Linked DNA regions of Sus scrofa. The protein of the gene in region 1 interacts with the protein of each later gene in a pairwise test. Links are inferred from orthologs where the notes say so. Each region holds a gene or a part of one and is shown on either strand. Other genes may lie near its edges. The genes, in order: UBQLN1, HSD17B12, RASSF5, MIEF2, UBE2V1, TMUB2 and TRIM23.

Region 1 (3,500 bases):
CCACAGCAGCGCGGGATCCGAGCCGCGTCTGCAACCTACACCACAGCTCACAGCAACGCCGGATCGTTAACCCACTGAGCAAGGGCAGGGATCGAACCCGCAACCTCATGGTTCCTAGTCGGATTCGTTAACCACTGAGCCACGACGGGAACTCCCTAAATGTGTATCTTGCTTTAAAATTTTTTTGACTTTAACAAGCACACTTCCAGCCATTTAAATGAAAAATAGTACATTTATAAAGTGACTTGAGCACTTTCACATGTTTTTTAAAGTGAAATGTTTGCTTTTATAAGAAGGCTAGGTATGAATTGTCTTATTGTAGACAGTTGTTACGAGCATTTATAGTGTACTTTGATTACCAGCAGATAAGAGTTTGTCGTTCTCTCTATTCTGATTTTGATTTTTAGGTATTCAAAAAAGTCTGATTATAAAAACTCTTGCTATATACAGTCAGGTAAGTTAGGAGAAATATCCTAATCCAATGAGATGAATCAGTTTAAAATGACATACTTTTCAAATAACATGAATCCTAAAAGATAAATGTGATAACTTTATTGATTTGTTCATAATAAAAAAAATATTATTTGACTGGAGCCGTTAAAGAAGCAGGTTTGTTGGCAAGGAGGTTTTACTTTATTTACTGTGAATTTACTGGTCACTTTGAAATAAATGCTGTAAATCCATAAAACATTGTCTGACTTCCTCCTGCATTAGTTATTTTGTTGAAATTAACTAAGTCTACTTTGCAATGATAGAATAAACTAAAGGAGGGAGGGAACAGTTCATTCTACTTGTAGTAGTTAACATGTAATTACTCTCAAATAGGGTTAATTAACTTGAGGGCAAGGGTCATTTTCCCCTCTGACTTGTAGACTGGTAAGCAGGCTGTCAGTAAATCTTTGTTGACCTTTCACTCTACCTGGGGAAAGTGATATAAAGTCTGTCTTTTTGAAGCTATGAGAGTATATCAGTTTCTGTTTATGCTGATCGTGTATCCTTATCTTATTTCCTGGTATGCAACATTGTGTTAATATTGACCCTGACTTTTTAGTTCTTAACACCCATTTGAAGGTTAGGAGGCATGCCGTTTTTCTCAACTCTGGTGGTAGTGAGGTGAAATCCAGAGGTTAATCTTGGTGTTCTCAAATGGCTTTATATTTTTAAGGTCTTAAAGCATTTTAATACTTTCCCCCAGAGATTGATCTATCGGTGCTAGTCCTGGGCTGATTTTCACTAGTAGCTCCACTTCTCTGGCTAGGTGGTTGCTGTTCTGCTGTGTTATTTTTCTGTACCTAATATTAGCTGTTTTGTAGTAGGCAGGTAGATATAGTGGTTCCAGATGTGGATTTTCTCTATGCTTGCCACTTGTGTGTTGAGGTGTCTAAGCAAGCCATGCATAGTTCATGTATTGATGCTATGTTTATTCTGTCAGTGTAGTGGAAAACGTATCTTCATGAATGCCATTTACTCTTATTTTTCCTTCAAAGGCAGATACCTTTGCTCAAGGAAAAGCCTAAAAAAATGATTGCTTTTATTTTTTAGGATATTGCATGTCATTATCATAATCACCATTCTCATTGAAAGAGAAGATGCCTCAGTTTTGTTTTTTCTGGAGATCCCTCTTGTGGACAGTATTCTTCCCTTTTTTAATTCATGTTCTACCTTCCTCACTGTTAAGTGCCAGGTTAGGCACTTGGGGGAAGATAGACTATTAAACAAGGTACATTACTTGTTTCAGATATTTCCAGTTAAAATTGTTTGAACACTTGCCCCATAGATGATGCTGAATAATCCCCTATTTGCTGGAAATCCTCAGCTTCAAGAACAAATGAGACAACAACTCCCAACTTTCCTCCAACAAGTGAGTAAGAAAAGATGCTAGCTATCTTTGGTAATTATTTGCTTGAAAAAAGTTTGGTGATAAACATTATCCTTGCTCTTCTCTGGCTGATAGCAAAACATAGAATAGAGTCTGGTAATGCTGTCAATTTGCAGAGAATTCAGCTTGATCTTAACTGAGCCCCATTTCATTGCTGACCTTTTGCTGGTATTTTTTAAACATAAATTCTGAGGAAAGGACCATTTGATTTTTGCTTTTGAGGATTTAGGATTTTGAATGCTTCGTTAATATCATAAACCATTTCCTTTCACTTTACTAACTTTGAAGTGCTTCATTGTGTCATGTTACACTGTATGGTTTAACTAATCTCGAGAAACAGGAAAGAGCTAGCTACCCTATCCTATTTTATATGTTTGGTTTCTTTGTAATGTTTTAATTCCTTCAAATTAATAGAATGCCAGTTTTCTAGGGGGTAGCACTCATTCCTCAAACTCGGAATTAGCAAGATTTAAATTGTTGTTGTCATATAAGGAAGGTTTTATTTAAAAAAGTACTTGAGATTGCCATGGTATTTTATTATTTAAAAAGATAAAAGAGAAGTCAGTCTTGGCATTTTGAAACTGGTAGTTCTAAGGAGGGCTTTTAAATATTATGCCAATGATCCTCAGGCCTGTAAACCATTATCCAAGGTTAGTTAGTGTCCTTGATCTATTGTAATGATGTAAGCCTGTCCTTTTTGGTTAGTCAAGTGGTGTGTATTTGGAAGTAGAAGCTGAACCCAGGACACATGCATTAACTTCAAATTTGGAACTATTGTTTTAGCGTGTATCTTACTGGTAAAACTGTTACATCAATAACAGATAACTCTTGGTCAGGAGGAATACGTGGTTTTCACCATATCATCATGTTATATAAATTGTGCATTTGGAAGTTGTCTCTTAGAAACAGTACTTTTATCTGTTGGAAAGGGGAAGAGTTGTGGCTTCCAGAGGAGCTCCTGATAGTCTTTCATTATGAAAAATGGCTTTCGTGATGGACTTGGGAGGAGGTCAGGTAACAATATGCACACTAGGTTACTATCAAAGAGGAGGTGCTTATGTTTATTTTGGGAAGAAATGAGGAATTAACTAGTGTTTAGGAGTAAGGTTTTAGATTTTCTCCAGAAGCATAGCAAAGAAAACATTTAAAATTTTACCTTTACTGGTTTTAATTCCTTCACTACCACAGTTTTTCTTTCTTCCTTAGATGCAGAATCCTGATACATTATCAGCAATGTCAAACCCTAGAGCGATGCAAGCCTTGTTGCAGATTCAGCAGGGTTTACAGACTTTAGCAACGGAAGCCCCCGGCCTCATCCCAGGGTAGGCTTCTTTGGGGAAGACTGTGAAAGTGCACAGTGGTTACTTTCTCTGAGAATTTCAGGCTTAATATTATTCTTCCCCCTTTTTTGGTGGAAATTGCTTTTAAAAGTTTTGAAAGTTAAAAACACTTATTTTAAGAAGATAACTTAGCTAATGTTCTTGTTAAAATGTAACTGATTTGCTGTCACCTGGCCTGGTCTGGCCTCTTGTTTTGCAGGAGTTTAGGTTTATTACCAGTTATTACCAGTTTGCCCTTTTTCTAGGTTTACTCCTGGCCTGGGGGCACTAGGAAGCACCGG
Region 2 (4,045 bases), on another chromosome or scaffold:
AGAAAACTTATCAGTATTACATACAAACATTAATTCTAAAATCCCAAAACTTTGGTTGAACAAATTACCTACTTTTAATCAAAATTTAACCGTAATTATGCAAGTGTTATCTCCGCTGGTTTGTTTTCCAAAAATTTCACTTTTTCTTTGTTATTCAAAGAGTCCCTGAATTGGGAGAGAGAAAGCAAGAAGTAGTTTCTTTTAATATCCAGGCCACCACACGTGTGTAGTGTTACAAATAACTTGATCATTTCTTCTGCTTCCATACTTGAAAAGAGATTCCCCAAAACACAAACTGAACAGTATTTCACTTTACCACACTGTGAGCCTCTCTGCTATATCCTATTGTTCTAGGTTAAATGTTACTTCTAAATCTTGTCAGTATTTCCCTTAATTCATCAAACATCTTTCCTCTGGGGCCAAATCTTTTCAATATAAGTATTACTCATAAAATGACAATGTCACATCACTTGGCTTTTACTATGGATTCATATAGAAACAACTTAGACCATCTGAGTTATCAGCAACTACAGTCAATTTTAGATAGCTAAAAAAAAAGTTATTCCCAAGAGTCTTTTTTGCTTTTTAGGGCCACACTTTCAGCATATGGAACTTCCCAGGCTAGGGGTTGAATTAGAGCTACATACAGCTGCCGGCCTATACCACAGCCACAGCAACTTGGGATCTGAGCCGCATCTACAACCTACACCACAGCTCATGGCAATGCAGGATCAACTGACTGAGCGAGGCCAGGGATGGAACCCGAGTCCTCATGGATACTAGTCGGAGTCATTTCCGCTGTACCACAACAGGGACTGCCAAGAGTTTTACTTATAAATTACAAAACTAATCCATCTTAATATATAATTTCCTAAGGCACTGGAGTTTTATGCAACTATTTCGAAAGTCGACAAGCAAGTTTTCCGAGCCAAACAACTAAGAACTTGAGCAAACCAACTGTGAAATTATAATTGATTACACATCACTTGCTTTCTCAACGATTAGAAAATCAGTGACTTTTTAAAATACATATTATAATGTTAACAGCTGCTTCACAGATTCATTCCTACTTGAGATGTTTTCTCTTTATGTTGCTATCCCCAAAGTGTAATTTATCTTGTTTTTCCTACCAAGTTGTTGAAATGTTTTCAAGTGAATAAAGAATATAGAGTACCATTATTTGCACATCTTATTTGAGCCTAGTCTGAATGCAACCCCGAACCACTCAGCATTCCATAAAATGCTTTGTGAACATTTTATTATAAAACTGAAGAACAGGAGTTCCCATCGTGGCTCAGCAGTAATGAACCCAACTAGTATCCATTGGGACGTGGGTTCGCCCTGGCCTCCCTCAGTGGGTTAAGGATCCCACATTGCCTTGAGCTGCGCTGTAGGTCGCAAACACTGCTGGGATCTGGCGTTGCTGTGGCTATGGTGTAAGCCAGCAGCTATAGCTCTGATTTGACCCCCTTGCTGGGAACTTCCAGAAGCCACGTGGGAGGCCCTAAAAAAAAAAAAAAAACTGAAGAACACATAATCACATCTTCGATCTGTACATCACTCAGTTAAAACAAAACAAAAACAAAAAAAAAAACCCTAAAAGAAAAGAAAAATAAGGAAAGAAAATCAACAAAAAAGGCAGAGAAAGAAAAAAGGCACACGCAAAACTTCCCTGCAGATAATTTTCTCAACTTCTCTAATCTGACCTTTCCCTTCCATTTTCCTCTAACTAGATAAACAAGATCCATTTGTTTAGCTCACTCTTTATGGGAATACTTTTTCCTGCAAATGTCCTGAAAAAAAAAAAAAATTCTGAATTCTACTTGAAGAGTTACCGTTTTTGCAAAAGCAATAGTTCTTGCCACCCATTAGAACTCCAGACCAATTTAGCAAAGATTAAAAAAAAAAAAAGTAAATTATATGAAATAGACCAAACCCAAGGCTCCAAAGAGCAGAAAGTCTTCTGAAATTCTCTGTCCTCTTCCTTCACCCTCACCCCAAACAAGCAACAGAATGCTTTTCATCTTTAGCACAAGGCAAGTGTTCAAGCCAAAAACTTTATTTTAAAAATACTCATAAGGGACTAGCCATGTGGATAGAGTGTGACCGAGCAAGCAGCCGGGCGACGAACTCCAGTCGGTGAAGCCGGAAAGATTTAAAGGTCACAAGATCCAGGGAGCTGGGGTCAGATTTCTCCCGCACCCACCAAGTGGCCCTTCAGATTCTCTGAGTTAGGCCAGCAATGTATTAAGTACTTACAAACTCCACAAGTCTAAGCAAGCCGGAAGATTTGCTTAGGGAACAGGCGGGTACGCGGAACAGGGAACAGGCGGGTACGCGGAACCAAGGAGTCTCAGTAAAGAGGAGAGGGGAGCTGGGGACCAGAAGGCCAAGCGCTGGGCCAGGACCTGGTCAGCGCAGACCAGGCCCAGCCGGGAGCCGCGCGGGCCGCCGAAGGAGCGAGGGGGATGGCGGCGCTGGAGCCGACTCACCTGCCCATTCACCGAGCCACGGGCCGACCCCCGCCTCGTGACCCAAACCCCAGACCCGAAGGGCCGTGAAGAACCAGCACGAGATGCGCAGAGCCAGGTAGGCCACGGTGCTCGCGCCCACCCAGTACAGGAAGCCCGCTGCAGGCAGAGCTGTTTCCATGGCTTTCAACCGGGCCTCACTACCTTCGCGAATGAAAAAGACGAATGAATGAATCCAAGAAGAAGCGCCGGCCGTGACGGTGAAGACTACAGCAATAGGCGCTGCTCCTACAAAGATTTTGGCCTAAACCCCGCCTATGGCACCATTTCCGTGCCGCAATTGGTGGATCTGTGGGTCTCGCTGCGCGTACTTCATCAGCCATTGGCTGATTCTAGTTGCGCTGCCCCGCCCAGACTCCCCTTAGCTGTCGCCCACTGGCGTTTCCGTCTTAAGGCGGCTGATCGCTCACCTGCCAATCAAGCTTCAGCCCTGTGCATCGCGGCAACGCGCCCCAGGATTCCGCCAGAGCGCAGGACGTCTCACCCTCACCAAATTGCCCGGGTCTCTCATTGCTGGAGAGTCCTGGCCCCAGCGGTAGCGTGTGCTCGGATTGGCCAATCAGATCCAACCTGCTTTGAGCTGGGTTTGAGGAGGAAATGGGTGAATGGAAGGAAATATTGTAGTAAGAAGTGGACGGGGAGCCTCGGTTTTATTTTCATGTCTTTATTAAACAATTCTGCATCATTAAGTGTGGTGTCGTTTTTCCCATAAGCTTTTCCGAATAAATGTTTTCATCTCCTGTTTCTGTACGGTCCCCACAGCACACCTTCGCTCCGGTTACACATCCTAATGGAGGGCTTTCTAAGTGCCAGACTCCCTCCCTCACTGGCATTAAACAACATAGTTCCCAATGTCTTGGACTGAAAGGTAAATAAGAGGGATCACAGAGTTAAATGACTATAATACCCAACGGTTTTAGATCTATAAAATGAATGAAAAATAGATTATGGGAACACAGCTTGATGAACAATTAGTTTGGAGGACTCCATGTTTTAACTGGGATTTAAAGGGCTACAGAGGGAGGAATGATGAAGGCGCACAAAAGTGTACAGTCCAAGTAGATGTATAACCACCTCGCCAAAGTTCCAGAGGAGTAGAGTCCAAGGTAAGTTTAAGAAATTGTCTAATGACTTATATCCAGACAAAACTATATTTCAAAAGGATTCACGCACCCCTATGTTCACTGTAGCACTACTCACAATAGGCAAGACATGGAAACAACCCAAATGTACATTGACAGATGGTTGGATTAAGATGATGTGGTGTATATACACAATGGAATACTACTCGGCCATTAAAAAGAATGAAATTTGTAGTAACATGGATGCAACTAGAGATATCATACTAAGTGAAGTCAGGAAGAGAAAGACAAATACTGTATGATATATATCATATGTAGAATCTAAACTATGGCACAAGTGAACCTATCTACAAAACAGAAACAGACTCACAAACATTTAGAACAGACTCGTGGTTGCAGGGAGGTGTGGAGTGGGATGGACTGGGAATTTGG
Region 3 (4,128 bases), on another chromosome or scaffold:
TACCTAAAAATCACCTCCAAGGGGAAAACAAAAAGCAAAAGCAAAGATTCCCCTAGGAGACACTAGGGGGAGACCCATCTCTGGCCTGGGAAGAGGAGGCACCCTCTCTCGCGTTTTTCCAAAGCTGATTTACCGGTGACTTCTGTTAAATTAACCAAACTGAACCCCAAGTCTTGAGAGACCAGGCAGTGATCAGGGAGTCAGAATGGTGAAAGTGGAGAAGGTGGGAAAAGCATCCATCTGTCTCCCCACTCCCGGACAATTTAGTTAAGGAAACTGTAGCGGCTACAGCCAGGGTCAGCAAGTCTGTGGCCAGACACACAGGTTCAAAGCTTCAGCAGTTCCGTTTCCTCACCCATGAGAGATGGTCACGGTTATGCAATGTGTGGGACATTGAAAATGCCGATCTTTTGTTCCAAAAATTATTAAGGCTTTCAAGGCGGTGATAGCAGGGCATTAAACTCGAGAGGTGGGGAGAGGTTACGAAGCCTGTCCTGGAAGCTGGTAGAAGGGGCTCTCTCTTTGGTCCCACTGGGTGAGCTGTCCTTACCAGGTACAAGCAAGGCGTCTGCGGGCAGGGCACGGCTGCGTCGGCGGCAGCAGTATTTCCACAGTGAATTACGATGGCACCTATGAGAAGAAGAGGGTTTGACTTAGGAAGAAAAGCCCTTCCAACCCACGGGGCGCTGGAGTGGTCTCACAGCCCAGGGCCCAGGAGTACTATAATTCCCAGCCTTCCGGGAAAGGAATATCCTACCCGACGGGGCTGCTGAGAGAGGGGAAATCAAACAAGAGTGAAAGTGGCGAGCGGACAGTCCTGACGGCCGCGCGGAGGCGGCTTCTCGCCACCGGCATGGGAAGCGTCCCCCGCGGCGCGTCCCTCCGCGTCACGGGACTCTGCGCCGCCGCCAGCGCGCGAGCGGGAGCCGGGCATCCCCGACCCACGCCTGGCTCTGTGCGCAAGGGGGCGGCGGGTGATGGCGAGCGGGAGGGCGGCGAGCAAGCGACCACCGGGAGGGTGGCGAACGGATCCTGAGCTTGTAGACATCTCCCTACACTCCATCCTCAGCTAGTTCCTAAGCTTCTTCATCCGGTCCGAAGCCCTCCCCTGGGCGCGTTGGGGAGGGTCTGGGGTTGGGGGAACTGATGGGAAAGGAAAGGAGGCAGGGCTGAGGGCGAGCGTCCCCCTACCAAATGTCTCTTCTGAGTTGTCCTGTGTAGAGCTTTTCGCGTACGCAATCCTTGAGCTGCCCCAGCTTCCCGAAGACTCCTCTAAATCCACACTCTCTCAGGAGCCCCTCCACCCCCACCCCTGCCGCTGGGTCGGTAGGTGGTTCCCTCGGGTCCTCCTTCCCGCCTCTCGGAAGTCTCCCCACCCCCGCCCCGCCCTGCAGGCTGCGGTCCCTTTAAAGGCGCGCTCGGTTGGGGCCGCCCTTCTCTCGAGGCGGACTCGGGAGGAGCGCCACGGCTGAGAGCCGCCGCCACTAACCCGGCATGGCCATGGCGTCCCCGGCCATCGGGCAGCGCCCGTACCGGCTACTCTTGGACCCGGAACCGCCGCGCTATCTGCCGAGCCTGAGCGGCCCCGAGCCGCCACCGCCACCCCCGGGCCCGTCCTCGCGCCGCTGCGCCCCCGCGCCCCTGTCCACTGCGCCTGAGGCGCACGAGGGGCGCGGCGCCCGGAGGGCTGCTCGAGGAGACGTGGAGTCCCAGCCTCGCGCCTCCCGACCCGCTCGCCCTCTCCGGCCTGGTCTGCAGCAGAGACTGCGGCGGCGGCCTGGAGCGCCCCGGCCCCGAGACGTGCGGAGCATCTTCGAACAGCCACAGGATCCCCGCGTCCCGGCGGAGCGAGGCGAGGGGCACTGCTTTGCCGAACTGGCGCTGCGGAGCGGCCGGGGCTGGTGTGACCTGTGCGGACGAGAGGTGCTGCGGCAGGCGCTGCGCTGCGCTAGTGAGTGTGCGGGCAGGGAAGGGCAGGGCAGAGGAGGGGCGCGCGGGAAGACCGCAGTCCATGGGCAAGCCACTGCGAGGGGGCCGGGGCAGGCAGAGAGGGGACATTGCCGTCTCTGGCTCCAGGGGAGACCTTGACTTTGACTGCGGGAGACACTCTTTTCCCTAGTCCCCTGCCCGCTATCCTTCAGTAACAGCCACTGCCCAGGTACGGTTACGTGGTATTTTACGACTACCTCTTCCCTGACAGGTGTGCGCCTCGCACCTCCCCAGACACACACGTATACACACTCGCAGGTTGGGGTTGATGGCTAAAGCTACAAGGTCATTCCGTTGTCTGCTGTGCACCGTCTTGCTTTTGTTGTACGTTCTTGGCCATGGGTTGTGAGGCTGATATTGAGATGATCATTTGACCCTTACTCATTAGGGTTAATGGCAAAATGAATTGTCCACCTATGGTACAGGCCCATGGCGCATACCTGCCTATGGTCACCCTCCTACAGGGTGACCTGTTGTGCCAGGGAGGGGACCTGATCAGGCTTTGGATGGAAAGGGGCTGTGAGGTTGAAGAGAGCCTGAGGTGACCCTGGACCTGTGTCCCCTGCCTTCCACCTCTGGCCCCTCAGACCTTTGGACTCTGCTCTGATGTTTTTCTGTGCCCTGCCGCCCCCTCCTCCTCGTCCTAGGTTACAGCACCAGTCATCAGGCTCAAAAATTACCCAACTGCTTGCGCTGTCCCTTCTTCCTCAGAGCTCTCGGGTCCCTCCAGCCTCCTCCTGAGCCAGACTCTTCTCAAAGCCTAACTATTAAAGCCCTAGGCATCCAGTGTATAGATTTTCTGAGGAAATTTGCAGTCTTCTTGGGGGTTTATTATTTTTCTCTTCCAGCAGTTAGGTGTGTGTGTTTCTTTAGTGGATGTCCCCTTCCCACCCCCCCACGCCACCCCCATATTTGCCACGTTTGGCAGAGGATATCCCTGCCCATGTGTTTATGTGTTTGTATAGATATTTCAGATATTGTATAAATATCTGAAGCAGAAAGCACAGACAGTGATACAACCTCTAGCAAGCATCTCTGGAAATGGCCTATGGTTTGCATCTTTCAGCAAAGGCCCTTCCCAGATGCCAGCAGCCCCACAGCTCCCATCCAGCTACAGCACTGGACAGCAGCAGCTACATCCACATCAGGAAAACCCTACCTTCCCTCTCTCTGCCATCCACACCCAAGGCTGTGTGCCGTGTGTGCCTCTCACTGCAGCTGGCTTCAGGGAAGGAGAGCCCAGACTCTAGGTCAGGGTCAAGTGGAAGAGGAAGATTGGAGGGGCAAATGGGTGCTGCTCTGTCCACCACCAGAACTCAGTTCAGGTGCTAATTGAAAAGGAAAGAACACAAGCTGTAAGAGGTGTGTGATGTGGGTGGAGGGCTGCTGTCACTTGGTTAAATGTCCCTGACCTTCCGGGGAATCAGATCAACTTTCCCACAGATGTCCTGGCAGCTTTTGTCCTCTCAAGGGTTCTGGAGTACTTTCCTGCCTCCACCAACCCTGGAAACACACAGAGAAGCAGTATCTTCACTGTAATGGGTTTTATTGTGCTGGAATCCCAGGAAATCCGCTTCCCTGGAATTCTAGTTTGTATGAAGACATTGGAGAACTGTATCAATTGTTGAACGTTTGGCATAGAATTTTATGATTTTCAGAGGGTATTGTTGATAATGGAGTCTGTGTGTATATGTGTGTGCGTGGTACTCCGTGATTAAGTGACCTGATGCTCACTTCACGTTAGAATTGTTTCCTTTGATTAGTTCATCCATAGGTTCTGGCGGCAGGAAGTCTCAGATGCACAGGCATGTCCTCTGACTCTGTGTGTCAGTTGGTGGCCCCCAGCGAGGTGATTTAATACTGAATGTCGGAGAGGGAGCAGAGTTGGACTCAAGGGGCTACAGAGAGGAGTCTCTGTTTGTTGTTATTAATATTTAACTGATTTTGGACCTGTGGCTGGATGGGAACAGTTGAGAAATGTTCTGGTGGCTGGCAGGGAGAGGCCACATTCACCAATCATCTTTCTTTTAGTTGAAGTTCTAATTCCACGGTGGGGTTGGTTTGTTTTACCTTTGTTTTGAAAAGCAGGGGTCAAAAACATGACTTTTTTTTTTGGTCTTTTGTCCCTTTTAGGGCCGC
Region 4 (4,154 bases), on another chromosome or scaffold:
GCCTGGCATCCCGAACCTGCTGTGGCACCTGGGTTAGGGGTACCCCTCAGCTTCTCCAAGGTCCCACCTGTGCTCCCACCCTGCCGTCAGCACACAGCTCCCCAGCCCCGCCAGTCGCCCAGCCTCAGCCCCGTTGGTTAGTTCACTCATTCGCAGCTCTTCCCACAACCAAATGCCCACTCAGTACCCCCACCCTTGTGGCATGGGGCCTAGGCAGTGTGTGCTTTCACTGCCCTTGGCTGGTGTCCCCTTCCCCCTACGGCTACAACTCCCAGCTGGTGACTCAGACTCTCCCACTCTGTACAGGACACGTGGGGACCCCCAGACAGGATGGTGGGCAGGAGGCAGAGGAAAGTGGTATGGCTGCCTGGGCACAGGGTCAAGGGTGCACACAGGGAACAAGGCAGGAAGAAAAGCCTGCCTCCTCAGCCCTGGCCCGACCCCGGGGTCCCAGCCAAAGCCTGGGCCGCTGGGCCCTGCACACCCGGGCTGACACTATACTGACCCCAGCCGGAGTCTGCCCACTGGCCCATCCTGCCGAGGAGATGACCCTCTTGGAGCCAGGCTGACTCTGGCCTCTGCTGCTGCCCCGCCTCCTCTCCGGTGCCCAGCCCTGCCCGCCTGGTTCCCGGTCTCCAAAACAGCCTCCCTCATCCCCAGTGCCTGGTCCTTGAGACCCAGGTTGTTCAGTTCAGCAGCTGTTCAAACAACTGCCGCCTGGGTCTCGACACCTGCCAGACGCACTCGCCACGAAAACGCATCCCTGCCTTCGGAAGACTAATCTCAAGTGCCTTCCTCGAATGAGAAAGCGAGGCTCGGAGAAGGGAAGTGACTTGCCCAAGACCACACAGGATGGGGGTGGCAGGAGGGGGCAGGGCAGTGACGGCGGCGCGGCCGTGAGTCAGGGCTCCGCTCGGGCGTGTGACCTCACAGGGGCGGGGAGGGAGGGCTGGGGAGGCGGGGGCACAGGCTCCCGACCCGGGCCGGCTGGGTGGGGCCCGGCGCCTGGACGGAGCCCGGTGGGGGCTCTCCGCGCGCGCCCGCGGCGTTCTGCCTGGGTGCCCGCCGCGGGCGCGGGACGGAGGCGCGGCGGTCGGCTCGGGACGGGGCCCAGGCCCAGCGAGCCGGTCCGCGGGTCCGGGGCCCGCAGGAAGCGGAGGGGCGGGCTGGGGGAGGCCCGGCCGCCGCCCGGGGGCTCACCTTGAAGTCGTTGCCGCTGAGGTCCACGCCGCGCACGAACGGAAGCACCCCGGTGGCCTCCATGGCGGCGCAGCTCGGCAGGCTGCGGGGCGCGGGCGCGGGCGGCCGGCGGCGCTGGGCGGGGCGGGGCGGGGCGCCGCGGGGGCGGGGCGGGGCGCGCGTCGGCCCCGCCCCTCGGCCTGCCGCCGCCGCCGCCGGGCCCTCTGCTCCGGACTCGGCCTCGGCGCCCGAGGCTCAACAGCCGGCGCTTGCTGGCTCCCGGGCCCCCGGTGGCTCGGGACCCAGGCCTGGGCGCACGGGGCAGCGGGAGTTGGATGCTAGGGTCCTCAGCCAGAGCCGCGGGCCTGCCTCCCGTGAAGCGCTCCCTGGGGCGCGGCGCCCGCGCTTGGAGGCGACTCCGAGTGCAGTTACGTTCTCATTCGTCCCCCGAGGGAGGCGTCCCCTGGCTGGCACATGGCAGCCCCAGTAGGCGACAAGGCCGCTGTGCCCTTCACGAGAAAGGCAGCAGCAGACCACAGAGACCCAGAGGCCCGCAGGGTGCGTGCCAGCTAGAAGGAAGCTCGCCTTCTCCCCCGTCGCGGTTGGGAGCGCGGCCCTGTCCCTTTAAGAAGCAGCGCGCCGGGAAGCCCCGCCCCGAGGAGCGCGCGGCCGCCATTGGCTGAGCGCGCCTCAGGGCGGCACGTGGGCGCAGGCTTCGAGCGCTCCGATTGGAGCCAGAGCCTGCCGGTCTGCTCGCCGGGCACGCGCCCGCCCCCCGGGCCTCCGCGTTCGGTTCCCGGGTCTTTCACGTTCCACTCCCGGACGGCCCCGGGGTGCGCGGCCCGAGCAGGCCCCCTGTGTCCGCCGGCAGGTGTGCCGAAGCCGCGACGCAGGTACGGCCAGAGCGTGGGGGCGTGGCCTCCCTGGGTGCGCTCTCCGGCCGGGAAAGGGCCACTGGTGAAGGGCTGGGGCTGGCCTCCGAGCTCGGGTCCTGTCTGGATGGGTCCTATCCTGGGTCCATCCTGGCGTCCCCAGGGCCTCGGTGCCCTCGCCAGCCGGGGCTTGTAGGAGGAGGGGAGGCCCGGCCGCGCCCTCTCCCCTTCGCTGGTTGGGGTGTGCGCAGCCCCCTCAGGAGCTGGGCGGTGACCCAGGTCAGGCAGGGGGGCGGTGGCAGTACTCATCTCCGACGAGGAAGCCTTCCAAGGGCCATGCTGGGTCAACCCCGGCCGTCTTTCCTATTTTTAGTTTGGGAGCGAGGCGTGGGTGCGGGGCTGCAGGCCCTACCTGGCAGCTGAGCCGGGCACCCGCCCAAAGCAGGGCGGCCAGAAGTCCTTGGGGTTGAGTTGGCTCTGAGCTAAGAGTCATCTGCTCAGGCGTCCTTAGCTGTCCTGCCGGGCCGTCTGACTGGTGTCCTGGGCTTGTCTCTTGGTCACACCCTCTTCACTCGGTCCCACCCCAGCTCATCCCTTCCAGGCCACTTACTTTAAACCTTTCCTAGCGCACCTGCACCACTTTGCAGATGAGCAAACGCAGGGCCTCGGATCCACAGCTACCTTCCATGGCCTGGCCTCCCAGCAGCCGAGGCCTCCCAACCCAGCATTGTCCCAAACCCGGGAGGCCCCTGTCCAGCCCTGCTTGGAGTCTTGAGTCACCTTGCTAGCTGCCCTCACAGTGGGGCCTTTAACCTCCTCTGGCACATACCTGTTGCAGGTAGCTCCTGCCCCCACCCCCGGGGCAGCGACCTCGCTTTCTCAGACTCGACAGTTCTGCCTCTGGGGGCTGCCCTGCTGAGACTGGCGGGTGGGGGGTTATAGCTGAGGCCCCCTGAGCTTCACTGAGGTGACCCCAAAGGTCTGAGAGGGGTTCAGGGCAAGCTGCTAGGACCCCAAGCTGTGGCCTTCTCTGGGCCTTGGTTTCCTCCAGCTTTGCCAGCCCTGGTCAGAAACCAGGACGAGGCCACCCCTGGGACCTGACCGTGGGGAGGGTGAGGGTCTAGAGGCTTTGCACTCACCGTGTGGGTCAGCCACCTGATTCTCTGCAAAGTGGGGGTGGTGGCAGTGAGATCCATCTCATTCACGGTCTCTGGCGACGTCGGGGGTCCTGAGGGTGGGATGGATGTGGCCTCCCTTCCCTGCCCTGCCGTGGGCCTCAGGGCCTTCCCTCTGAGACCCGGGGGGCTGGTTGTTTGCAGGTTTGGGTGGGGCACTTGGGCAGGGAGGCCTCCCAGGAAACCCTGCAAGTGGCCCCATTCTCAGAAGTTCTCAGGAAGCCCCCTGACTCAGTGACCCTGGCATGATGTCACCCTGCTGTCCTGCTGACAGGCTGGCCATGCCCCCCCCCCACCCCAGCTGAGCAGTCACTGTGCCCTGGCTCTCTTACACTGTGCCCTGGCTCTCTTACAGGTGGACCAACCATGGCAGAGTTCTCCCAGAATCGGGGCAAGCGGCGTGACGGCGAGGCGCTGGGCAGCGCTGTGGACTTTCTCCTGGCCAATGCCCGCCTGGTGCTGGGTGTGGGCGGGGCTGCCGTGCTGGGCATTGCCACGCTGGCTGTGAAGCGGGTACGGTGGGGCTGGCCAGAGTGGGCCAGGGGTGGTGGGAGTGCCCGAGGCTACACCTGCCTCTGCCCCACCAGCCTAGATCGCTTTGCCCTTGGCTCTGCTGCGGCTGCCTGGGCTTCAGATGCCCTCATCCATGTCACTCTGCCTGCAGCTCATCGACAGGGCCACCAGCTCTCAGGATGAGGCTGATGCCAAGGGGGACGCCACGTGCCTGGAGGAGAGCTGGAAGGAACTGAGCCTGCTCAAGGCCACGCCGTGCCTCCAGCGTCGGCCCCCACCCGCCGCCCTCAGCCAGTCGGTGCCACTCCGGGCCCCCTCACCCTCTGCCCCAGGTGAGCTGACGCCTCCCGTCTGACCTGGGTGGGCCCCTTATTTGGTGGTCGTGTTCTGGAGACGCAGCCCAGGCTCTGCCACT
Region 5 (3,500 bases), on another chromosome or scaffold:
TACACTTTTTTTTTTTTTGGCCATGGCATGCAGCGTCTTTTATTGTGGAATCTCAGTTCCCAGACCAGTGGTTGAACCCAGGCCACAGCAGTGAAAGTACAAAATCCCAACCACTAGGCCATCAGAGATCTCTCATCTCACATTCTTAGGCAGCCTGACAGTAAATATCTAAAATTGTGACCTCTGAAATAAAATAAAATTATGCTATATTCTCACCACCTTCACTGCTAATACCTGTAATCTTTTGCTAGAATTATTGCTATAGCCTCCTAGCTGTTTGTACCCTAGCTCCCGTCACTGTATACAGCAGCCAGGGGGATCCTGTTAAAAACAAGTCCTGTCATTGCTTTGTTCAAAACACCAGTGGCTTTTTGACAGTTGGAGCCCCTCATTTCGTACTTTTCTTTGATCTCACTAACTTGGTTATTAAATCAGCATCTTTGCTATTCTCAGATGCTCTGGGAAAGGTCCTACTTCAGGGCCTTTGCACCTACTGTTTTCTCTGCTGGGAAGACTCCCCTCAGCTACCCGTAAGTCATGCTCCCTATTTAGAATTGTAACTCCCCCAAGCATTACTCTCTGCTCCAGAACTCCACCATCTGTCATACTTAGGTAATTTGCATAATTTGTATATGTTTCCTACTAGAATGTAAGCTCCATGAGGACCGGCATTTTTTTTGTTGTTCACTGCTTGTTTTCTAGTGCCTAGAAAAGTGCCTGACAAAGTAGATGCTCAGATAGTCCAGTTGATTTGTTTGTTTGTTTGCCTGCCTTTTCTAGGGCCACTCCGGCGGCATATGGAGGTTCCCAGACTAGGGGTCTAATCGGAGCTGTTGCTGCCAGCCTACACCAGAGCCACAGCAGTGCAGTATCCGAGCCACGTCTGCAACCTACACAACAGCTTGAGGCAACGCCAGATCCTTAACCCACCAAGCAAGGCCAGGGATCGAACCCGCAACCTTGTGGTTCCTAGTGGGATTCTTTAACCACTGAGCCACCATGGGAACTCCTCCGGTAGTCCAGTTGAATTAATAATAATGTATTGAACACCTTGGGAAATACTGAAATATACTGGGAACACTTCCCACAGTCTTGAGTTCCTCCAGTGAGTTTTTCTTCATGGTCATGTGTTAAGCGCTGCGTGGCTCTGAGAGTCTGGCCATTTGGGGGCTCGGTAAAGACAGCTTGTGGGAGTTCCCATTATGACTCAGTGGTAAGGAACCCTAGTATCCATGAGGATGCAGTTTCAATCCCTGGTCGTGCTCAGTGGGTTAAGGATATAGGTTGCCATGAGCCGCAGTGTATGTCACAGATGAGCTTTGGATCCTCTGTTGCTGTGGATGTGGTGCAGGCTGGCAGCTGTAGCTCTGATTCAACACCTAGCCTGGGAACTTCCATATGCCGCAGGTGTGGGCCCTAAAAAAAAGAAAGAAAGCAAGCTTGTGACTTGCCTGGATCCTGAGTTTTTCCCAGTGGAAATAGTCTAAGTGCCAGGGCTTGAAGAGGGGAGTGGGGAGAGAGGTTGGCAGGACTGGTCGGGAGAGCACCATCCCTGTCTGGCTGAGAACCTAGATTCTGCTCTGGAAGACACCCAGAAACAGTGCAAGCCTCTCTGGGTACAGGGGCATGAACCTGTGAGACATGTTGTTTGCTTGATTCCATGAGCTACTTGCTGGCCTTTGGGGTTTTTGGAAACAGGTAAAGCAGAGTGCTGGCTGCCCTCTTAGCTTTTTCACAAGTTAAGAGAGAAACTATGCCTTAAATATTTGAAATTTTTCATTCTTGCTTTCAGTTGACTCTGAGTTGATCAAGAGGACACCATTGTTATGTGATACGGTCAGGGCAGCTGTTCCTCCTAAAGTAGTTTGGGAGTCATTCCAGTAAATGAGCATGTCTTAGACTCAGAAATGTACAATAAGAACAAAAGAAGTAGACTCACGTCTTTTCTTCCAAGGAACTGTTGTTATCACTTTATTGACAGTTTTCATCTCAAACTAGTGGGCCTAAATTAATCAACATTATGACATGTAAACCCTTTATGAAGTTTTTCAAAGCTGTGGGGGTGGGGTGTCTTTCTAGGTTCGGTCAGTAGCCCTGGTTTAATCGTCACTTCACCTGTAACAAACCGGGTACCCCTTCCTTCTCGTTGTGCTGGTCAGTACGGATAGCCTCGTAAGCAGCAAGCTTGAGGTATGACAACTTTGAGCAGTTTTTTGCATGTAAGCATCTTTATTCTCAGGTGGTGCTATTGAGCAGCTAGCTGTAGGTTTACAAGTTCCCCTGGAGTTGCTAGTATCTTGAATTTTTCTCCATTTATTTTAGGAGTAAAAGTCCCTCGCAATTTCCGACTGTTGGAAGAACTCGAAGAAGGCCAGAAAGGAGTAGGAGATGGCACAGTTAGCTGGGGTCTAGAAGATGACGAAGACATGACACTTACAAGATGGACAGGGATGATAATTGGGCCTCCAAGAGTAAGCGTCGAGCTACGGCTATAAATGTCAATGTCTTAAATTCACTGTGCCTCCTTTTAAAAAATATTAGCCTTATCACGGAAAAAGCTCACCAATGGTATAGTTTCTGAAATGTGGCTATTCTTTTTTGACCAGTTTCAGTTTATATATTTGAACCTCCTCTGATGCTGTTTAATCCCTCTAAATGGTAAGCAAAAACCTGTTCAGACTCATAGTGTGAATTTACATGACAATGTAGACAGTGAGGTTTGAGGTAATTGCACCCTCAGATGCAGATTTGGAACAAACTCTTGTGCTTATCAAATAACACGACTCCCAGATACAGCCAACATTCCTGAAGACAATATCCAGATGAACTTTGGAAAGCCGTCTTGGTTGTGGTTTTTACTCATCATTTCCCAGTCCTACCATGCATCTCTCTCCTAATTCATTGAGCCATTCAGCAAAGGGTTATTGCCTGCCTAGTCTGCTTGGGTCTGTTCCAGGCCCAGAGGCCTTTGCAGAGAAGACGACAGTGGGAAGGGGGAATGTGACCTCTCTTGGAGACCTTCATGGTTTGCGAGTTCCCAGCCTTCGTGATGTCAGCTAACCTTTTTTTATGGTGCATAGTAACCCCCCTAGAAATGCCAGTTAATGCCAGAACCTGTTGTTAGATGCTACCATTGTGTAGTTGCATTCCATTTCACAGATAATAAGGAAAGAAACTCAGAAGTGAAGTTACCCGCACAAAGTCATGTAGCTGATTATTCCCAAACCAGGTCTGACTCCAGAGCCTGTGCTCCTAACGCTATGCTATATTGTCTCCTTCCTATTTATATTTTGAGTTTTCATCTGTTCCCATTAGAGAATATCCTAGAGTGGTAAGTAGTAATTTGATGTAGATATGAAGAAATAGATTCCAATTATGTGACACTTGTTTCAGACAAGCAGTAAGAGATTCTGCCTGAATGCATCAGGCCCTTTCCTGTGTCTGCTTGTGCTTAAGGATGGTGATGTTCATTCATTCTTTTCATTTCACGCAAGGCCCTG
Region 6 (4,240 bases), on another chromosome or scaffold:
AAGATAGTGGCTGGAAGAGGACTGAAGGGAGGTTTTGGGGTATCTTTTTATTTCTTAAGACCTGGTTCCCCTGGTCTGTTCTGTGGTGAAAACTATTGAGCTTTTCGCTTTTTAGCTTGACCATCTGCATTATTTATACTTCTTCAATCCATAGTTCACCAGAGTAGTTCCCTTCGTGGCTCAGTGGTTAATGAACACGACTAGTATCCATGAGGAAGCCAGTTCGATCCCTGGTCTTTCGCAGTGGGTTAAGGACCCTGTGTTGCCAGGAGCTGTGGTGTAGGTCGCAGATGAGGCTCAGATCCTGGGATCCTGGGTCTGTGGTATAGGCCACAGCTACAGCTCCAATTCCACCCCTAGTGCCTGGGAACCTCCGTATGCCACGAAGGTGGCCCTAAAAACAAAACAAAACAACAACAAAAGATAACACTTATGGAGTTCCCATCCTGGAGCATTGGAAACAAATCCGACTAGCAACCCAGAGGTTGCAGGTTCGATCCCTGGCATCACTCAGTGGGTTAAGGATCTGTTGTTCCTGTGAATTGTGGTGTAGGTCACATAGGCAGCTCCGGAAAACAGCAAAAACCACAGAACCTCTTTAGAACAAAATTTAATTGCAAAAATCCAGATAAATTCTTGTAAATTAAACCTGTCTTTTTGGGGGCTCTTGCCATTCCTGTACCCCAAGCCTAGAAAAAAAATCAGTGCCTTCTTTGAAATGCTTTCTCACCTTATTTACCAAGGTGCCACACTATCTGGAGCCGCAATCTCGAAACACCGAATGGTTGGTTACTAAATCGTCTCCTCGCCTGGCTCCCGACTGAGCCCTGATTTGAACTCGTGGCGCTCAGAAAGACCAGTGCCTGCTGATTCCGCTAACCCAGAGCTCAGTGCGCGTTGTTGGACAGTAATAAGTCCAATCAGTCTGGGAAGTTGGGAGCAAGACCGGATAGAGAAAGCTGCGAAAGAGGAAAGGGTAGCTCTAGATTGCCCAGAGGTGCCATCCAGCTTTGACGTCCAGACGCGGAGCCACGCCCCTTACCCAAGCACCTCCCCTAATTCCCTCCAGGGCCCACTCCTCACCCCTAGCTCTTTAGGCCCCGCCCACCAGGCGTGGCTCGGCCCCGGGAGGGCCAGGATCCCGCCAACAACGACTCCGCCCCTCCTTCCGCCGAGAAACCTGTCCCTTTTATTTAAAGAATACGTTTACGTCAGCCCGCTTTACGTAGCTTTTCGTCATCAGTGCAAGGCGCAGAGGCGGAACTTCCTGTCTCTGGTTCTAACAGCTTCCGGGAGAAGCCGGAAGAGACTGGACCCTGAACAGAATTGGGGCTAGTCAGCCCCCTCCCCGATTCCCTAAAGAAAGGTGAGTCCATGGGCCGTCTTGACGAAGTCAAAACACTTAGTTTGGCCGTTTCAGGTGAGGACCTCCTTCCTTATCCAGGTGCGGTACCGGTCCAGTCCCCCTTTAATTTCCCATGTTCCCCCGCGTACTCAAGCCCCGCCCCCAGTTCCCCGGCCCCGCCCCGAAGTTTGAGGGGTGTGGATGGTTTGTGACCCCCTCACCCTCCCTTACCCCTCTTGGGCCGGAAGAACTGGGTCTGGGAACTGTGGCGGGGAATAGACAGCCTTTCGGCTCGGCTGGACCTACGGACCCCTCCCCAGCGTCGCGGGAATAGGACCGCCCAAACGCGGAGCCTTCGCTTCAGATAGGCAGGATCGGGGACCCTTCCTCACCGCGCCATCAAGGGTCGCTCACAGATTGAGGAGAGAGCAAAGGCCTCCGCCGAGGGAGACCTGGGGTCTTGCCCGGCCCCTCCCACAAAAGTTCCCTGTGCCTGTGCCAGTCGTGTTTGCCTCTATTCGCCGCAGTTTTCTTTTCTGTAAGTCAGGGTTAATGATATTAACCTTACCATCAGGGGTTAGTTGTGAGAGTGATAAATGATTGCTACTATTTGTTACTGAACAATTGCAATGTGCTGGGCACTGTGCTAAGTATTTTGCTTCGATGATCTCTCCTCATCTTCAAAACGACCTTATGAGGTAGGTACTATTTTTAATCCCATTTTACCGATGAGAACGCTGAGGCCCCGAGGAATTTAAGGTTACAGAGCTAGTAAGAGGCAAGACGGGGTTTGTAGTTTGGGTTTGTTTATTTGTTTTCTGACTCCAAGGCCCATGTACTATTGGAAATTATTCAGATGTTGATATATTCCACAGATATTCTTTGAGCAACTGCTATGGGATTATGTTGGGCTCTATGAGACACAGAAAAATACATGTGATCCTTGTCTTCCAGGAGTCTGGTAGAGAGATGGACAGGTAGATAAGTATAATGAAGTTTTATAGATGCTGTGAGAACAGGCTGGTAACGACAGTCATTAGATGGGATTTGCCCAGGGACAGCTATGAAAGCAGCAGATCTCAAAGGGAAAGAGTAGGGACTCCAAGGAGCAATAGAGATCCTTACTGCCTTTCTAAGACACTGCCAAGGGAGGAGGCCACCTTACAAGAAGAAAGATTGCAAAATGGATTGTGAGAGCCATTTGGAATCTTGTCCAAATTAGTTCCACGCAGGTAGCGGTTTTGTAGTTGTGAGCCTGTGGTAACCCAGGAGGGTGGTGTTTCTGTGTGTGTGTCCTGCTTCACTGCCAGGAGAATTTCAAGAGGAGGCAGACACAGTGTCTGCTGCATAGGGTCTAGTGATGGCCCCTACAGAGTTGTCCCTTTGAGGTGGTCTCACTTTGCTTTTTTTTCTTTTTTGGTTGCCCCAAGGCATATGGAGGAGTTCCCGAGCCAGGGCTCAGATCCCAGCCACAGTTGCCACCTACGCCGCAGCTATGGCAACACCGGATCCTTAACCACTGTTCCGGCCCAGTCGGCCCAGGGATCGAACCTACATCCTGGCACCGCAGAGACACTGCCGATCCTCTTGTGCCAGAGTGGGAACTCCTGGCTTTGCTTTTGATGATAGATTAATTTTCTTCGGCTCTTAACAGCTGGACCTAAATCCATGACCATGAATGAGATTGGGTTCAAATGAGATAACCTGGCCAGAGTGGCCGTGCTGTGCCTCCCAAAAGGACCCCCAAGTAAAATATTCCAGGCTTCTTTAGTCTCTCTGAAGCTGCCTTGGAGGCCTTTTGCCAGGGAGGTGTCGTCGTTGTTTTACCGAGTGGTAGAAATCCTAGAGAAACTTAGGTCTCAAAGAAGCCAGTGTCTTCCCTACCTGTCAAAAAGCAACAAACAGTAGCAGTAGCAGCAACAATGAAACTGTAAGCTTTCCTTGATGACCCATGCTCATTGGGGGGTTGGAATGTGAGACAGGAAGGGTGTGGAGTCTGAAAGTCAGCCTTTCACAGTGGAGGCAAAGGCTAAGTCTGTAGCCTTGGGTTGGGGTCCGGAGTTAGGAAGGTTTGTGCCCCTCTCTGCAGGACAGTGAACTCCATTTTCTGTCAGGGCTGGGTCAGGCAGAACCTAAACAAACAGGAAACCTGGTTGCAAGCCCTCAGGCCCTGCTGACCCTATCCCCTTTTGTTCCTGCAGTGTGGACCCAGTCAGCAACCAGGCCATGGAGCTCTCTGATGTCACCCTTATTGAGGGAGTGGGTAATGAGGTGACTGTGGTGGCAGGTGTGGTGGTGCTGATTCTAGCCTTGGTCCTAGCTTGGCTTTCTACCTATGTAGCAGACAGCGGTAGCAACCAGCTCCTGGGCACTATTGTGTCAGCTGGCGACACATCCGTCCTCCACCTGGGGCATGTGGACCATCTGGTGGCAGGCCAAGGCACCCCCGAGCCAACCGAACTCCCCCATCCATCAGAGGGTAGTGATGAGAAGGCTGAAGAGGCTGGCGAAGGTGGGGGAGACTCCACAGGGGAGCCTGGAGCTGGGGGTGGTGTTGAACCCAGCCTCGAGCATCTGCTTGACATCCAAGGCCTGCCCAAAAGACACGCAGGCCCAGAGAACGGCAGGCCAGAGGCGCCCCTGCGATCCGAGGAGAGCAGCTGCCTCCCTTCCGGCCCCAGCCTCATCAATGTGCGGCTCAAATTCCTCAATGACACCGAGGAGCTGGCTGTGGCCAGGCCAGAGGATACTGTGGGTGCTCTGAAGAGGTAAGTGGGCTGGGAAGTGGGAGGCTGCTCAAACCCCAAGCCCCCAGCCCTTGGTCGCCTCGGAGGAGGCCAGGATAGAGTGGGGACAGCAGGGATGCATCAGGTCCTGCCCCGCACTTTCTTAGAA
Region 7 (3,500 bases), on another chromosome or scaffold:
ATCACAAAAGCCAAAAAGAGTGCACAAATGAGGAAGTAAAATAATTGTTGACATTTATATAGCATTTATGGGCTACGTGTTTTAAGGATTTTTACATGTCTTTTTAAAAATTAATATATGCAATAATCCTATATAAGTCTGGTGCTATTTTCATTCCCCATTTTACAGATGGGAGAAGTGAGGCAGAGAGGTCATGCAGCAATATATACAAGTATGTTCATTGCAGCATTATTTATAATATCAAAAAATCAGAGATGACCTAGTATCTTTCAGTTGAGATTAGTTAAATTGTGGTTTATGGAATATAATGAAGCAATTGAAAGGAAAAGTATGTCTGTATGTTTTGAAATGAAAGATTTCCATAATGTTAATTGTGAAAAGTTAGTTGAAATATGTTTTTTTTTTAAAGTATATTTGTTTTATGTATGTCAACCAATGTGTGCACAGAAAGGTGTCTGGAAGGACATACATGAAATTGTTAACAGTGGATATTTATGGGAAATGAGCATCACTTTTCATTTTTAATTAATATATTTAACTCAGCATAAAAATTTTATTTAAAGAAGATTCAGTTGAGCTAGAAAATCTGGGATAAAGAAGTGGATGTGTATATTTTTTTAACTTGTATTAAAACAAAGTATGTAGTAAGTTTTACTAAGCCAAGATTTAGCAAAGCAATGAGGAGTGATTCCTCTGAGAATATCAGAATCAGGGTATTTTAAACTGATTTTAATGGATTGAGGAATGAGTAGGAGACAAATAATTAACAGAAGTTTTTTGTAAATAAAAGTGTTAAGTGCTAATACTTTTAACTCCATAACAAAATAAAAAGATTAAATTTTTTAAAAATTATAGGACAATAGAGTTCACATTGGACCAAAAATGGAAATTCGAGTTGTCACATTAGGATTAGATGGTGCTGGAAAAACTACTATTTTGTTTAAATTAAAACAGGATGAGTTTATGCAGCCTATTCCAACAATTGGTAAGTATGAGTATTGCTTTATCTTTAATGGACACTTTACATACAAACTCTAGCTTATAGCTGAGTTCTTAGGACCTTATTTTATGCCTGTCTGCTGTGGAGAATGGCTCTGCCATGGAGAAAAAAATGGAATATTCAGTGGCTGTTTAACTGAAATGTGGATAGAGGGATAGTAAGAAGGAACAGAATATTGGTGGTACAGTTGCAAGGAATAAAGGATTGATGACTGGCTAAGGATTTGGGGTGAGGAGGTGGTAGTGGTGCAGAGCTGGCACTTCAGTGTCAAGGTCCTAAGAGCTCTGGTTAAAGGTATTAATTTCCTCATGTATGCTTATTAGGAGTGGAGTTAGTTGGGCAGCAGTAGATATTGTTGTATGAAGATAATTTGTAAGTTACAGTTGTAAATGGTGTTGCCTGTGTTTGTTGTGTCATTCATTGTAAATATAAGTTTAGTATTAAAGAAACTTTTTTTAAAAACAGGTTTTAATGTGGAAACTGTAGAATATAAAAATCTAAAGTTCACCATTTGGGATGTAGGTGGAAAACACAAATTAAGACCATTGTGGAAACATTATTACCTCAATACCCAAGGTAAGAGTATAAGAGTTACATTATAATTTTTCAAATTTTTAGGATGCCAGTTTTCAATGCATTGATTAGGTAATAAAACTGATGCTTTAGCATTGATTAAATATGTAACTATACCTTTATATATTTGTAGCAGACACCGCATTATTAAGAAAATTAGTAACATTATTAAGAAAATTAGAAAAACTGGGATATGTACTCTGGGTTATTTCATGAAAAGCATAATTATAGCATAACAACCATATTTATGTTATATATGTAGACAGTTAAGCATACTTACCTCTTGCTGCTTTTAACAAAGATTAGTATTAATGTTCATATGAGCATGATCACTGGCAATATTGTCGTATAGAGTAGAATTTGTGGGGTATAGTTCTGTTACTCTATTCAGTTCAATTCCATTATATTCTCTCAATAGCTTCCACTCCTTCATTTCCATTCACAATTAGTTGTTATCTGCAGAAGAACCTGAAGTGGTTTGCTTTTGACCAAATTGTGTTATATCACATATATTCCACTTAGCATTTGGGCCTCATTTTATGCTTTACCTCCTGAAACTTATGTTCATATATCATCCTATTTTCCACCTAGAAGAAAGACTAGATAATTTTTACTTTGGGATTTTTGATATTAAGTTTAGTATGAGCAAGTGACTAAGGGGGAAAAAAGGGAATTTTGAGTATGAAGAATGGTTGAAAGTCTGGGATGTTTAGCTACAGGAGGAAGCTGGAAATATTTTAAAGAGAATTAATTCAGTATCTATTTATGAAGCTTCATCTGTGTATTTTCAGTCTAATCTATGGAACATGCCATTACAGGCACCTACAGAGAATACTTTGGGGAGATAAAGATGGTGATTTATTTATTTTTAAAAAACTGTCTTGGAGTTCCCATTGTGGCTCAGCAGGTTAAGGACCTGCTATTTTCTCTGTGTGGATGCGGGTTCAAACCCTGGCCTTGCTTAGTGGGTTAAGGATCCAGTGTTGCTGCAAGCTGCAGTGTAGGTTACAGATGTGGCTTGGATCCTGTGTTGCTGTGTCTGTGATGTAGGCTGCAGCTGCAGCTCCAATTCAACCCCTGGCCTGGGAACTTTCATATGCTGCAGGTGCAGTCTTAAAAAGAAAAAAAAAAGCAAAGACTTTTTGTAAATGAAGTAATAATCGAAGAAGTAGCACCAGCAAGTAGATCAGGAGAGCTGCATTTTCATTCATTAAGAAAAAAATTTTAAATGGTATGAACAGCAGTTTCTATTTGGTAGTGCAAGTGTTGTAAATCCTGTTATAGGTTGGGAAACAACAATTGAAAAGTTATGTTCACTACTTGAGATCATATCATTAATTATTGCTAGGTGCTCCTATAATTGGCAGCCTTTCTGTGAAAATGATCATAGATTATCATAATGAGAACATTAAAATATTTGGTCCATTTGCTGAAACTTAACAAGTGACTAATTGAACATTTTTACGTTCTTTTGGTAGCTGTTGTATTTGTTGTTGATAGCAGTCACAGAGACAGAGTTAGTGAAGCACACAGTGAACTTGCAAAGTTGTTGACGGAAAAGGAACTCCGAGATGCTTTGCTCCTGATTTTTGCTAACAAACAGGTGACACATTTGTATTTCAGAATACTTATTTTAGTATTCCATATTATAGGTAGCTGTTACTATTTCAAGAGAAATCATTTAGATATTTACAAAGTTTCTGTTCTATATTTTGAGTACAATCTTTATGGAAAGTGCTGTACTTGGTACCTTGGAGTATACCAAAAGAAATAAAGTAGTTGATGCTCACCAGAAACTCCTATGTAGGAGTTCCCTTTGTGGCTCAATGGAAAAGAACCTGACTAGTATCGATGAGAACATGGGTTCCATCCTTTGCCTCGCCCAGTGGGTTAGGATCTGGCATTGCTGTGAGCTATGGTGTAGGTC

Evidence for each region.
Region 2: the proteins of UBQLN1 (region 1) and HSD17B12 interact in binary tests that used the Homo sapiens proteins (3 or more experiments, as listed by UniProt). The link is inferred for Sus scrofa from reciprocal best matches to the Homo sapiens genes UBQLN1 and HSD17B12.
Region 3: the proteins of UBQLN1 (region 1) and RASSF5 interact in a two-hybrid assay, tested with the Homo sapiens proteins (3 studies listed by BioGRID and IntAct). The link is inferred for Sus scrofa from reciprocal best matches to the Homo sapiens genes UBQLN1 and RASSF5.
Region 4: the proteins of UBQLN1 (region 1) and MIEF2 interact in binary tests that used the Homo sapiens proteins (3 or more experiments, as listed by UniProt). The two-hybrid records come from large-scale screens. The link is inferred for Sus scrofa from reciprocal best matches to the Homo sapiens genes UBQLN1 and MIEF2.
Region 5: the proteins of UBQLN1 (region 1) and UBE2V1 interact in binary tests that used the Homo sapiens proteins (3 or more experiments, as listed by UniProt). The link is inferred for Sus scrofa from reciprocal best matches to the Homo sapiens genes UBQLN1 and UBE2V1.
Region 6: the proteins of UBQLN1 (region 1) and TMUB2 interact in binary tests that used the Homo sapiens proteins (3 or more experiments, as listed by UniProt). The link is inferred for Sus scrofa from reciprocal best matches to the Homo sapiens genes UBQLN1 and TMUB2.
Region 7: the proteins of UBQLN1 (region 1) and TRIM23 interact in binary tests that used the Homo sapiens proteins (3 or more experiments, as listed by UniProt). The link is inferred for Sus scrofa from reciprocal best matches to the Homo sapiens genes UBQLN1 and TRIM23.

Annotation. Positions count from the first base shown.
Region 1 is NC_010452.4:31,310,416-31,313,915, forward strand, and holds part of UBQLN1 (ubiquilin-1), read left to right. Parts: intron 1-1,777; coding exon 1,778-1,861; intron 1,862-3,085; coding exon 3,086-3,201; intron 3,202-3,464; coding exon 3,465-3,500. UniProt on the Homo sapiens protein: Plays an important role in the regulation of different protein degradation mechanisms and pathways including ubiquitin-proteasome system (UPS), autophagy and endoplasmic reticulum-associated protein degradation (ERAD) pathway.
Region 2 is NC_010444.4:18,608,961-18,613,005, forward strand, and holds the start of HSD17B12 (very-long-chain 3-oxoacyl-CoA reductase), read right to left. Parts: upstream 2,801-4,045; 5' UTR 2,653-2,800; coding exon 2,493-2,652; intron 1-2,492. UniProt on the Homo sapiens protein: Catalyzes the second of the four reactions of the long-chain fatty acids elongation cycle. This endoplasmic reticulum-bound enzymatic process, allows the addition of two carbons to the chain of long- and very long-chain fatty acids/VLCFAs per cycle.
Region 3 is NC_010451.4:67,155,839-67,159,966, forward strand, and holds the start of RASSF5 (ras association domain-containing protein 5), read left to right. Parts: upstream 1-1,328; 5' UTR 1,329-1,494; coding exon 1,495-1,951; intron 1,952-4,128. UniProt on the Homo sapiens protein: Potential tumor suppressor. Seems to be involved in lymphocyte adhesion by linking RAP1A activation upon T-cell receptor or chemokine stimulation to integrin activation.
Region 4 is NC_010454.4:60,472,896-60,477,049, reverse strand, and holds the start of MIEF2 (mitochondrial dynamics protein MID49), read left to right. Parts: upstream 1-1,354; 5' UTR 1,355-1,514; coding exon 1,515-1,737; exon of another isoform or gene 1,738-2,072; intron 2,073-3,581; coding exon 3,582-3,739; intron 3,740-3,890; coding exon 3,891-4,071; intron 4,072-4,154. Other genes in the region: FLII (protein flightless-1 homolog), read right to left, coding at 1,201-1,263. UniProt on the Homo sapiens protein: Mitochondrial outer membrane protein involved in the regulation of mitochondrial organization.
Region 5 is NC_010459.5:51,640,499-51,643,998, reverse strand, and holds part of UBE2V1 (ubiquitin-conjugating enzyme E2 variant 1), read left to right. Parts: intron 1-2,322; coding exon 2,323-2,471; intron 2,472-2,477; exon of another isoform or gene 2,478-2,658; intron 2,659-3,494; exon of another isoform or gene 3,495-3,500. UniProt on the Homo sapiens protein: Has no ubiquitin ligase activity on its own. The UBE2V1-UBE2N heterodimer catalyzes the synthesis of non-canonical poly-ubiquitin chains that are linked through Lys-63.
Region 6 is NC_010454.4:19,021,209-19,025,448, reverse strand, and holds the start of TMUB2 (transmembrane and ubiquitin-like domain-containing protein 2), read left to right. Parts: upstream 1-1,440; 5' UTR 1,441-2,008; coding exon 2,009-2,043; intron 2,044-3,546; coding exon 3,547-4,113; intron 4,114-4,240.
Region 7 is NC_010458.4:44,108,292-44,111,791, reverse strand, and holds part of TRIM23 (E3 ubiquitin-protein ligase TRIM23), read left to right. Parts: exon of another isoform or gene 1-855; coding exon 856-985; exon of another isoform or gene 986-1,465; coding exon 1,466-1,576; exon of another isoform or gene 1,577-2,002; coding exon of another isoform or gene 2,003-2,041; intron 2,042-3,051; coding exon 3,052-3,176; intron 3,177-3,500.